3 linked regions of the Oryctolagus cuniculus genome follow. The protein of the gene in region 3 purifies or fractionates together with the protein of the main gene of each other region. This does not show direct contact. Links are inferred from orthologs where the notes say so. Each region holds a gene or a part of one and is shown on either strand. Other genes may lie near its edges.

What was found.
Region 1: the proteins of NCK1 (region 3) and PAK1 purify together in Homo sapiens (affinity purification with western blotting; 8 studies listed by BioGRID and IntAct, with this or other methods). This does not show direct contact. The link is inferred for Oryctolagus cuniculus from reciprocal best matches to the Homo sapiens genes NCK1 and PAK1.
Region 2: the proteins of NCK1 (region 3) and WAS purify together in Homo sapiens (affinity purification with western blotting; 4 studies listed by BioGRID and IntAct, with this or other methods). This does not show direct contact. The link is inferred for Oryctolagus cuniculus from reciprocal best matches to the Homo sapiens genes NCK1 and WAS.

Annotation. Positions count from the first base shown.
Region 1 is NC_091432.1:68,610,733-68,614,964, forward strand, and holds the start of PAK1 (serine/threonine-protein kinase PAK 1), read right to left. Parts: upstream 2,802-4,232; 5' UTR 2,219-2,801; intron 1-2,218. UniProt on the Homo sapiens protein: Protein kinase involved in intracellular signaling pathways downstream of integrins and receptor-type kinases that plays an important role in cytoskeleton dynamics, in cell adhesion, migration, proliferation, apoptosis, mitosis, and in vesicle-mediated transport processes.
Region 2 is NC_091453.1:33,872,115-33,876,236, reverse strand, and holds the start of WAS (actin nucleation-promoting factor WAS), read right to left. Parts: upstream 2,802-4,122; 5' UTR 2,732-2,801; coding exon 2,600-2,731; intron 2,303-2,599; coding exon 2,162-2,302; intron 738-2,161; coding exon 651-737; intron 550-650; coding exon 447-549; intron 351-446; coding exon 309-350; intron 216-308; coding exon 162-215; intron 1-161. UniProt on the Homo sapiens protein: Effector protein for Rho-type GTPases that regulates actin filament reorganization via its interaction with the Arp2/3 complex. Important for efficient actin polymerization. Possible regulator of lymphocyte and platelet function.
Region 3 is NC_091435.1:144,689,063-144,693,300, reverse strand, and holds the start of NCK1 (SH2/SH3 adapter protein NCK1), read left to right. Parts: upstream 1-1,437; 5' UTR 1,438-1,667; coding exon 1,668-1,920; intron 1,921-4,238. UniProt on the Homo sapiens protein: Adapter protein which associates with tyrosine-phosphorylated growth factor receptors, such as KDR and PDGFRB, or their cellular substrates. Maintains low levels of EIF2S1 phosphorylation by promoting its dephosphorylation by PP1.

The DNA of each region.
Region 1 (4,232 bases), on a different chromosome or scaffold from region 3:
AATCTCTAACTCATGGGCCTTGACTTTATTCTTTATACACATATTCATTCATTTAAACACTTATTCAATGCCAGGTCCTTTGCTAGCCACTAAAACTAAACAGATCATGCCCTCATGAAATTCACAGGCTAGTGAAAAAAGATAAGCACAGACTTAACATAATTGTAATACAGTGCCAGACAGAACTAAAAACGTGGTGTGTACATGAGCCAGAGGATGGAAAGGCAACTTATTACAAGGACACCTCTGTAGGCAGGGAAGGTGAAGAAGGCAGACATTCTAGGCAGATGAAACAGCACAAGGGGAAGCACAGATGAGAAAAAAGTGGTAGGAGAGAGTTTACCAAAACTGAGGCTGCAAAGGTAGACAATGCTCAGATCTCCAGTTTCTAGTTCCAAGCTAAGGAGTCTGAAATTTATCTTTTGACAATGAATAGTCAGAGGTAGGAATTACTTAAGTGATTACGCTTTGTTTTACAAAATCCCTGTGGTTACACAAATGCCTTCCTTTGAGGTGCTGCTTCCTTCAAGTCTATACAGAGTCTCAAAACCTGTGCTCAATAAATGTATGTAGAATTTTACTTTTTCTTATGGATGAGGGGCCAGCCTGAAGAACTCAATTTGGCCAGAAGCAAACTTGTAAAACAGGTCCAGCAACCTCAATTATTGCACACTACTCCCTGTACAACTGAAGTCCCCCGGAGATTAGGGCAGGCTGCATTGTTTACTTGTCTACCTCACCCACTAGACTTTGAGCTCTTTGAAGACAAGGAAGGTCTTAACACTCTTGAAATCCCCATGGCTGTGGCAAGAGGCTTGAAGCAGATTCCAGTAATAATGGATAAGAGAATAACTGAATAAGCAATTTTACCAGGTAGACCCACGAGCTCACGTAAAGGTATGTATAAGGTTCAGGGAATGTTTCAGGGTCCATATTCCCAAAACTTTTTTGAGAATTAGAGCTGATGTGGGGTAGGTTTCATATGCACCTGATTCAGGATTTCCCAAACAGAAATTAAAATGCTACAAGTGCCATAGGAGAAATCTCAGTGGGCCTCTGAAAGCCCCAACGGGGAGAAGTCAGCTCTACCTGAGAGGGAGGGGACAGATGCCAGCAAAGACTTGGGGGGAGGCATATTCTTCACTGGACTCTTGAAAGTGAAGTAGGTATGCTGCCTACCTGCCCATTCCAGGGACACAAAAGCAAACTCCTAGAATTTTAAGGCTGGAAGTGACCTGCTCAAGGTCACACAGGAAGTAGGTAAAGCCACAAGGTAAGACAAATGAGGTATCTTTGTACTGTGGACTCCTGTTTTCTCCTGACAAGAGATGAGAAAGCTCAAATACACAGTTGACGAAATTAAACATTTTTCCCAAGAACAATTCTTTAAAGACAAGAGTGATGGATTTGAATGTTTATTGGTAACCACAATACCAACCTTTCCCTTCACCTTTCACAGTTAAAAAATACAGTGAAGTGTAAGACAATTATCCAAGGGGTTTAACAAGGATTTTACTGGCAACACCGACACACACCCAGTACTTCTTAAGTATTCTTCCAAAACACTGCCAGTAATGTTTACCGTTGAAATATTCAAAACAGTGAACGCTGTAATAATGTCTTTTGAAATGGAATAGCTAATACAAAACAACTATAATTCTCCCTTCCTCGATTGTTTTCACCTTCCTAAGTTAGGGAGTACTCCCGGGATGGGGGAAGGGCTGCATAAATCGCACTACTGTTTTCTTTTCAAGTTGAACCCTAACGGTGGCTCTCCAAGCCTGGACTGGGGAACTTTTCCACGCAGAATGAAGCGGGCGCCCTGTGGCCAGGCTTCCCCGTCGCGGGCCACGGTGAGCGCTGCGGGACGGCCAAGTTCGGGACGGAGCTGGTCCCGGACTCGGACCTGTCTGGTCTCCCAGCCTCGGCCCGGCCCCTCCCCCGCCGGGGCCTCCCCCCTCCCGGCCCCCCGATGTCCCGGCGTCCGAGACCGGCGGTCGCGCGGGTGCGTGCACAGGGGGCCTTTGTTGGCCCGACGGGAGCGGCCCGCCTCGCGGGGCGGCGCCCGCCTCACCTCACCTGGCGCCCCCGCCCGCCGGGACCCGGCGCCCAGAATGAATGCGCCCAGGGCCCCCACCCCGTCCAGCCCACCCCGACCGCGCGCCTCAGCCGGGACAGCCCGCAACGCCAGGGGCACCGACCGGAGGCCGGCTCTTACCTTCCGTGCTCGCTCTGCTCCGCTCGGCTCCTCCTCCTGCTCCTCCACCCCGGTGGCGGCGGCCGGGCCGGGGGTGAGCGCGCGAGTGTGCGCGAGCCGCCGCTTCACTTTCTCCCTCCCGCCGCCGCCGCCGCGCGCCTCCCCCCGGCCGCTGGCTCTGGGGATCCCCTCAGGACCGAGGGACCTGCGAGGGAGGGGGCGGTGAGGCGGGAGGAGGCGCTGCGGGGCCGGCTCGGTGGGCTGAGAGGGGCGGGGATGTGAGGGGCTCGGACGGCCTCGGAGGGAGGTGGGAAGTCGATGGGGAGGCAGAGTTCTTTGAGCGGGATTTTGGGGACTGCGGGGTTCGGAGAAAAGAAGAGTCCGAGGGCAAAGTGTCTCCGGAGTAGGACAGCAGAGCGAGGCGGGGAGGCGCGATGGGCGAGCTGAGGGGGAGGGCGTGTGTGGGCAGCCGTGAGGGGGCGTCCACTGTGTAGCCGGCACCTTCAGTTCCAGTGGCAGCCGCTGCCCGCCGCCGCCCCGCCGCAGGCGCCCTATTGTAAGCCGCCTCCCGGGCCCGACCGCCTCGCCCACCGGCCCCCGCCCCGCCCCTGTGAGGCCTCGGCGCCGGCGGAGCCCTGCCCGCCCCGCCTCCCGCAGGTGGGAGGGGGCGGGGAGGGCCGGCTGGCCCACGTGAGCGAGACCAGCCCAGGCGAGGGGGAGGGCGAGCGCCGGGATGACGTCATCGCCTCATGACGCCAGAGGCTGGGGAATCACCCGGTTGCCTGTGACGTCATTGCGCCCGCTCCTCTGCTCTCTGCGGGTGCTCTCAACCCGCCGCAGGTTTCTTTGCTATGGACTTTGTGACTGAAAACCTTTGGGCAATTTCTGGGATGGCTGCAATCGGAAAAAGGCGGCTAACCCTCAGGATTCAGGGACTGCTGCTTACAAAGCACCACCGCATTCGTTAGCTCATTTCCAAGGACTGAATTTGAAAACGGTTTCGTGTGATCTCAGAGCCACATTATCTATGATTCTAATTGTTTTCTTTGGGTAGGATGTGGGAGCCAAAGTGGGGAGACAAAGGATAACCATGGTGACCTGACACAGAAAAAAAAAAATGGCTTCCTTTCCCGTTTTTCTCTTTGTATGATGTCTACTTTCTCCAAACCTTGCCCTGGAGCAAAGATTATGTATTTACCAAAACCTCCCCCACAGCGTTCACCTGCATGCATTGTTGTACCTCAGATTCAACGTGTCCAGTACTGGACAGCATTGGTGGCTGAAAGTCTGGAACAAGATTGTCTTGCTTCAAATACGTATCATCCATATAAATGTTAGTAATAGGATCTTAACGTTTTTAAACCATACTTTCTCCATAATAAGTGGTACTTGTGTATCCTTAACTTAATCTCTCTAAGCCTACCTGAAGCCATAAAAATGATAGTGACAATTAAGCATAGTCAGCCCTTTGGAATGTTGACTATTACCAGTCATTTCCCTCCAACCTTGCGACTCTTGTGCCTTCCTGGTCTCAGTGAATCGACCACACAATCCAGCAGTCAGTGAAAACAGAAACCTGGACGAAAGTCCAGATTCTCTCTACCTGCCTACCAAACTGGACGTCAGGTCTTGTCAATTCTACTTTGCAGGTCCTTGCCCTTCTCTTCCTCCACCATCACATGAACTACTGGCGCAACCTTCAGTTGCTCCAGATCCAATCCACTGACCACCACAAATATGATGATGTCCTCCTCTATTTAAACACTCTGAAAGGTTTTTATTGCTTTCAGGATAAAGTCTAAAATCCTTAACCTGGGACTTCACAACCTGACTTTTTCAGCTCCATCACTCATCATATAGCTTTTCCTCCAGCCACACTAAAATACTATTTAACATTCTCGCAATACACACTTCTTCATGTCTCTGAGCCCTTCACTCCTTATGTGACTGGCCAACACCTATTGATTCTACAAAGCTGAGCTCAAATGTCATGTTCATTTATTTATTTGACTAATATTTCTAGAGTTTCCCTGAG
Region 2 (4,122 bases), on a different chromosome or scaffold from region 3:
AATTCATCCCCTCCTCTCAGCCATCTATCTGCCACCTGTCTATGCACTTATTCATCCAGCCACACGTCCATGAACCTGCTCATCCATCCACATACCTACCCGTTTGCCCCTCCATTCACCCACTTATCCATCCAGAGACACAAAGCAGAATCAGCACTCACCCCCTTGGTCTCCACCTGGGTGTGAGGGCAAGGGTGGGAGCCCCCCTCTTCTCTCTGGATAGATGGAAAGGGGAAAGTGCTATCACCATCCTGCCACAGGTTCTTGGGCAGGGCCCCTTTTATTGCTACTTGTGCTAGAGGACTCACCTTCATTGGCTGGTGCTGGTGGTGGGGGTAGCTGCCGTCTGTCTGTTGGGGAGCCAAAATCATGATGGGGCTTTTGTAGTTTGCCACCTTTACATTCATCTCTGTGCAACCTCCTTATTACCCCCAAGGCCTCCTCACCTCCACTTTTCCTCTGATTCCTTTTTTGTATCTTCTCTTGCACCAGGGCCCGGAAGGCCTGGGCCTCACCCTCATCTGCAAAGTTCAGGCCCGCTTGGCAGTCCTGCACATGCCTCAGGGTCAGCAGCCTTCCAGGCCCCTCACACCTTTAGCACCCCCTCCCCATGCTCCCTACTGCTGCGCAGGGGTTGGTTGATCACTTACATCTCCGGCAAAGGTGTGGAAGAAGGGGGTGGGAGTGGAGTAGACCAGCTGTGAGTACAGCTCCTGTTCCCAGAGCAGCCGGCCAGCCTGGAGAGGTGCAGGATAGGGGACACACTGGCACGGAGGCACCCTCTGGGTGGGTGACAAGCTGTTATCTGGGCAGGGAGCGTGGTGTCTGGATTTGGGGCTCTGGAGTCTAATTTTGGAGATATTCAGCTCAGTATCAGAGGGAGTGGGGGCTGGGTGTCAGAATCGGAGGGTTGAGATATCGTCTGAGTATCAGACTCTGCGGTGGGAACTGGGTCGTGGTTTGGAAAACTTATGACTGCAAGACCCGGGAAATTGAGGCTCACACATAGACTCACTTGATCCTGCACTGCCCCAACTCCATGGAAGGTAGGCTTTTAGGATTTGGGAGTTGGGGTTGAGATTTGAGGTTCAGACATATAGACTTGGCAGTTGGGGGAGGAGTCCAGACAAAGTATGTGCATTTTAGGGTTTGTAGAGCAGACTTAGAGCTGTGGTGTTTGATCAATAGTTGATGGCTTTGGCATCTTGAAGTGATGGTAGGTCCATCTTTATGGATTTAGGAGGATGAATTTGGGTGTAAGCCTGGAAAGTTTGGGTTGGAGGTTGATAAGACAGGTCTGTTTTTTGCTGCAGCACTACCTCCTTATTTGGGTGTTCAGAAGTGTTAATGTGGAAATTCTGGGGTCCTTGCTGTGGGCTTAAAAAGACTGATTTGGGGGGCTGCGCTGTGGCATAGTAGGTAAAGCCACCACCTGCAGTGCCGGCATTCCATATGGGCGCCGGTTCGAGTCCCAGCTGCTCCATTTCTGATCCAGCTCTCTGCTATGGCCTGGGAAAGCAGTAAAAGATGCCCAAGTCCTTGGGCCCCTGCACCCACATGGGAGACCCAGAGGAGGCTCCTGGCTTTGGATCAGTGCAGCTCCGGCCATTGCTGCCAATTGGGGAGTGAACCAGCAGGTGGAAGACCTCTCTCTCTCTCTCTCTCTCTCTCCTTCTCTGTGTAACTCTGACTTAAATTAATAAATAAATAAAGACTGATTTGGAGTTTGAGAAGTTCAAGACTCAATGAAATCTTCAGGTTCTGGGTCTGAGCAACAACAGGCTTATGACTTAGGAGCTGGGCAAACATCTGGGGCTCAGGAGTTTTGATGGAGGATTTCCTAAGATGCAACATGTCAAGCTGGGAACAGATTTGAGGTACAGGCATAAATCAAATGGTCAGTTTTTAGAATTTGTAGACCCAATTGGGCCTGGGAGGTGGTCTAATATTTGGGGGTTGAGATACCATGATATGGAGACTCTGGGGTCAGTCATTGTGAAGTCAAAAAGGCAAACCAGAGTTTGAGACCTGGGGGAGGGAGCCTTAGTTCTAGGGTTCAGGGATTTGCTCATCTGGTCCCAGGGCTCAGAGCTATGTATGGGCAAAGGTCTGGCTTTGCAGGTTGAGGTCGGGTTTGCCTATCCATTGAGGGGAGGGTCACCTGAAGGCCGTAAAGGCGGATGAAGTAGGACTTCTGGGGGTTATCCTTCACGAAGCACACAGCCCCACAATGCTCCTTGGTCCAGTGCTCGGCTCCAGGGGGCAGCGCCAGGTACAGCTGAACAACTGCAGTGGCCAGCGTCTAGGAGGGAGAGCAGGGATCAGTGGGTCTGGTCTGGTCGTGGGGGGAGCCAGACCTGGGCCTTCCTGTGCCCCTGTCATGGGCCTGAAGGAAGAGTTGCAGCCCGAAGGAAGGTGAGGAGGCCTCGGGATCTTCCTGGGATGGGTGAGCAGTGGAAAAGTGGCTTCTAGGAGAGGGGCTGATGGGGAGGCAGAGGAGGAGGGGGAGATGGAGAGGGAGAGGCAAAGGGTGGGGAGGATGAGGAGGCAGGAGGGAGAGGAAGAAGAGGAAGGGAGGGCCGGGAGATCCCCAGCTCACCCAGCATTTTCGTCCAAGCATCTCGAAGAGTCGCTGGTTCTCGTGGTCCTGAAGCAGGGTGGAGGGAATGTTCTGCTTAACCTCAGGTGCTCCTCGACCCCCGGGCCTGCCTCCCACAGGGCCCCCACTCATGGTGCCTTCTGTCCTTGTCCTCTCCGCCTAGGCTCGGGGTGCAGGGTAAGAAGAGGAACTTCCGCAGTGAGCAAGGGAACAGGAAGTACAAAAAAACCACAAGAGAAACAAGTCCTCCAGGGGGCCTCTCAGTAGGCCTGGCCTCGTCCTCCCCACGGGCCCTCCTCTGTTGGACTGCTTAGACCCATCTTTTTTAACTAGCTCAGGTCCTTCTCCTTCAGTCTTATCCTCTGGGGCCCACCTCCTCCAACAAACTCAGAGCTTCCTCTCTCTGGCTGGCAGCAGGAGCTGAGCCATCTGCAGTACTTCTGCAGGGCTGGCTGGGGCGAGGAGGAGCCATCAGGCTGGGAATCCTCCCTCTGCCCCAAAACACCATAGACTCCGGGGCCCAGGTCCAAGACTTTTCCCTTTAATTCCATAGCAAGCCCCTGGGAGCCCACTCCTATCTTGAGCCACAGATATTGCCAACAGGGTACACACCCCTAGGTCACTTCCCTTACCCTTGTCTCCTGTAGCAACCAAATTATTTTCTGCCCATCAGCCCTTTTTTGTTTTTATTTTGTTTATTTATTTGAAAGGTAGAGTGACAGAGAGAGAGAAAGAGAGAGAGAATCTTCCATATGCTGGTTCACTCTCTAAATGGCTATAGCAGTGAGGGTAGGGCCAGGCCAGGAGCCCAGAACCCCATCTAGGTCTCCCACGTGGGTACAGGGGCCCAAGCACTTGGGTCGTCTGCTGCTGCCTTCCTAGGTGGATTAGCAGGGAGCTGGATCGGAAGTGGAGCAGCCAGAATTTGTACTGGTGCTCCCACATGGGCTCCCAGTGTCACAGCTTATGGCTTAACTCACTGCACCCCAGCGCCGTCCCTCAGCTCTTTATATATATATATATTTTTTAATTTTTAAAAATCATTTATTTATTTATTTGAAAGACAGGGATAGAGAAGGAGAGAAAGAGAGATATCTTCAATCTTCTGGTTCACTCCCCAAAATGCCGCAACGGCCGAAGCTGGGCCGATCTGAAGCCAGAGGCCTGTAGCTTCTTCCGGGTTGCCCACATGAGTGCTGGGGCCCAAGCACTTGGGCCATCTTCCACTGCTTTCCCAGGAGCATTAGCAGGGAGCTGGATCGGAAGCGGAGCAGTCAGGACTTGAACTGGCGCCCATATGGGAGGCCAGCACCACAAGTGGCAGCTTTACCTGCTATGCCACAGCACCGGGCCCCTTCGCTCAGCTCTTTATTAAAATAAAGGAACTTTATGGAGCCAGGGCTGTGGCGCAGCGGGTTAAAGCCCTGGCCTGAAGCACCGGCATCCCATATGGCTGCTGGTTCAAGTCCCAGCTGCTCCACTTCTGATCCAGCTCTCTGCTATGGCCTGGGAAAGCAGTACAA
Region 3 (4,238 bases):
AAAGACAAGTACTGTTTTTAACTATCAGAAAACATCAAAAACTAAAATATAGTGTACTTCCCAGTAGTAAATAAAGTATTAGAATATTAGTTTCTGAGCTAAAGCATTTACATTGTTTTAAAGATAAATTGGTAGTTGTTGCTGTGCCGTTTAACTGTTGGGATAATGTTTTTTTAGATTCTAATTTTTTTGCAAACAGGACCATTAGTTTTTTTTTTTGTTTTCTTCCTTTTTTTTTTTTTTTTTTTTTTTTGACAGGCAGAGTGGACAGTGAGAGAGAGAGAAAGAGAAAGGTCTTCCTTTTCTGTGGGTTCACCCAACAATGGCCGCTGCGGCCGGCGCACCGGGCTCATCCCAAGGCAGAAGCCAGGTGCTTCTCCTGGTCTCCCATGGGGTGCAGGGCCCAAGTACTTGGGCCATCCTCCACTACACTCCCAGGCCACAGCAGAGAGCTGGCCTGGAAGAGGGGCAACCAGGACAGAATCTGGCGCCCCGACCGAGACTAGAACCCGGAGTGCTGGCGTTGCAGGTGGATGATTAGCCTGTTGAGCCGCGGCACCAGCCAGGACCATTAGTTTTTAAATGGAAGGCAAATCAGAATGTGATTTTCTTTACATAGTTGAAGAGACCAGTGTTAGAACCAAGAATACTTCTGGTTTTGTAAATACTGAACATTTATTGAAAGCATGTTGATGAAAAGTATTGAAGGAGAGCAAGGTAACTTCTTTCAAGAAAGTATAACTCATAGTGATGAATGCACAGAGAATACTAGACATATCTATATAGAGTTTTTGTTCCTTTTTAGTTTGTTTTTAAAAATTTATTTGCAAGGCAGAGAAAAAGACACAAGAGAAAGAGATCACCAATTAGCTGGTTCACTGCTTACACTTCACTCCTCATTGTGAACAGAACCCTGCTGAAGCTGGGAGCCAGGAACTCGTTCTGGGTTTCCCATGTGGGTGGCAGGGTCCTTTACCCATTACTTGCTGCCTCCTAGAGTATACAGAAGCAGAGCTGAGACTCAAACCCAGGTACTCTGATAAGGGATGCTGGTGTCGCAAATAACTGCTATTCCAAACCACTGCCCCTGTTTGTTTTTAATAGGATCCTGGTGTCTGGAATTAGAGAGATGTGATAGTAGTTACAAAAGATAGTGAAAAACTATTATCTTAGAGCAAACAGGACAAATATGCCAGTTTTAGTTATTGTATATAAATCTGAAAGTTAATTAGAATTAATTTTTATTAATATTACTAGGAAATTTTCCATATTTTCTGATATTATTGAGACAGTTTTAGCAAGGTTTATAATTCTGTAAGATTTAAGAAATCGCTGTTAACTTTATTACAATATGATGGTTATTACTACCTTTATTTCTGGGTGCTTGGAAATATTGGTAGTATATAGTTACATAGTATAATGATGTAAATCCAACTTATGCATTGGATAACCTTCTTTTCTTTAGCATTTCTGTGTCTCTTTTTGGTAACTCAAATGTCTTATTTAATGGGTTTGTTTCACAGTGATTGTGCTGGTGGAGACATTGTTTGAAAGTTTAGGAAAAGGAAAAATGAATGCAATAGTATATTTTTAAGTGTTAGAAAATGTATAGGCTTTAAAACTCCTTCTAAAGTAAGTGTGAAGAATAGGTTACTTTTTTGACCATTATGATTTACTTATTTTACAGATTCTGTTATAGTTTATGGGGAAAAAAGTTTTGGAAAGAGAAGCTTCAGAAAAGCTTTCTGTTGCTTGGGTGTGGGCCAGGTCACATGGATTGGGTGTGGGAAGTTTCAGTGTTGCAGAACAGACCAGGAAGCTCCCTGAGAATTATCCTGAGCTGTGTTAACAAGCTTACAAAAGAGAACACAGAATTTGTATTCAAAATGGAATGGTTAAACGTCTTTAAAGATTTTTTCAGTAAGTTAATCTGTTTATTAAATCTGTAGTTTTCTTGTTACAGTTTTTGGATTAGATTTTTCCTTTTTGTGAATTTAAAGGGAAACCGTAGAGAGAACTTGTTCGGTTTTTATAAGCTGGTACTTTTGTGTTGTTTCATACAAGCTAAATTATTGATCATGTATCAAATAACATTAGTTTAACTGCGTAAGATAATTTTTAAATATTTGAGTATGATATTTAAATAACATATAAGGAAAGGATAAAAATGCTTGGGTTTCATACAGTTCTAGTTCAATAATTTTCAGCTTAGCACAAACATTGACGTGAAATCAATGGTAAACAATTAAAAATAATTAGGTGAGCAAACTCCATATTTGACTTCTGAGTTAACATGATATTGCTTTACTACTTTTCACTTACAGTAACAGTATAAAGAATGATATTTAATGGAAAGTGCTAGTAAAATACTGAAGAATTTAATATTAAAAGAGTGTAATCCATATGTCTATTGATGACTTTTTATGATCTTATGATAATGAGTTTGATTTGATCTTGAGTATTGGTGTTTCTAGAAAAATGAGCAGAGGAATTATTGTGCAAGATTTTTATGTACGAAGAGCCTGAGAAGCAAGAGTTACCTGGTGAGAGATTACAGAGAAAAGCACAAAACAAAAAAAGAGTAACCACTTTCTCTAAAAAACAAACAAAAAGTGACTACAATGTGAAGATTTATTTAGTTAGTTAGCTGTGGTGTCTAAGTGAGTCCCTCTGGAATATGTCTCTTAACTTCAGTTTACTTTTTGAAGTGTTATTAAGTCAGATCTTTGCATTTCCATTTTTTGAATGATCTTTCCTTTTAGAGATTTATTGGTTTATTTATTCATTTGCTGATGAGCCATTTTTCATTGAGTGCCTACTATAAGCGAAGATCAGAGTAATAAAAAAAGAGGGTGAAAAGAATGTTGTATCACCAATACAGAGATTCAATATATTTCATCTTAACAATGCAATGATAAAATTAACATTTTCTCTACTGATCTTATGGAATTGGTAGTTAACCTTAAGTACATTTTTATACTGAGGTTCAGGATTTGAGATTTGTAGCCATATCATTCCTTTCTTGAGTTCTTGCAACACATTGAAGTTTATACATCTCTTGCCAGGTAGCTCATCAGGAGAGACAAGGCTAGGCTATTTATCAATCTACTCCTCAAATGGACTTAAAAAAATAGAGAAAAAAAGGATATGGTGCATCTTGTGTAATAGCCAGAATACCCTTGAAAACAAAATTGCTCAATGTTTTAGATAAAATAATAAAAAAATAATATGTGTGGATGAAATAAACAGGTGAAAATACAAAAATTCAAATAACCCATGATGGAAAGAATACCATATATTTGGTTTTAGAATTCCTTAGTTCTGTTTTCTGATATACTATTAACCAGCGTTATGACCTAGGGTATATAATTAAAGCTTCCTGATTTTCTGAGAGTTGAGTAAGACTAGACGATCCTGGAAAGTCCCTTCTAACTCTAAAAGTTTTATGGTCCTGGTGAAAATAGATGGTCATGTGTATGTCCTAAGAGTTGGGGGAATCTGTTAGGGAGAAATTGGTTTTGAGGAAGCACATAAGAGCAGAAGTATTGTTCAATAAGCAATTAGAAGAAGTAGTAATACTTTCTTGGTGCTCATTCTGCTTTCTATTATTCAGTCATTCAGATGAAGGGGAAATGACATGCCTAAAAAGTAGGGAAGACTAATACTGGAAAATTTAACATACATTAGATTCACAGAATATTTGAAAATTTAAAATCAAGATATAAATAAGATGTATAGGAACTGGCAGTAATATAAAATGTTGCATGAAGTTTTTAAAGAAGTTGAAAAAAATGCTGAGAACTTATCTTGGCAACAGTTGATATGAGTGAAAGACTGAGGAAGAGCTGCTGGGTAATGTAGGTGGGGAAGTCTCGCACAGTCCATGGTGGCATTGGTTCAAGTTTGTGGGATGCTCAAGTGAAGGGATGCAGTAAGCTCCCTTTTGTATGTGCTGGGGCCAGATAAACTATGATGTAGTTATTCACTTTGGATAGATACCCTTTAATGATGATATTGAGACACTCAAATGCTTCCAAACACGGACATCCAGTATATCAAGGATTTGCAAGCCAAGTTGCATAAAGAATAGTTATGGGTACTGAGATTGTGTCAGGAAGAGGACAGATATCACACAAAGACAGAATGTTCAGAATGCTTGATCATGTTCTTAAACTTTTGAGAAGTTTAATAATGCATTATTTTGCTTAAAATGTAGTGCTGTAGGAAGAGAAGTGTAA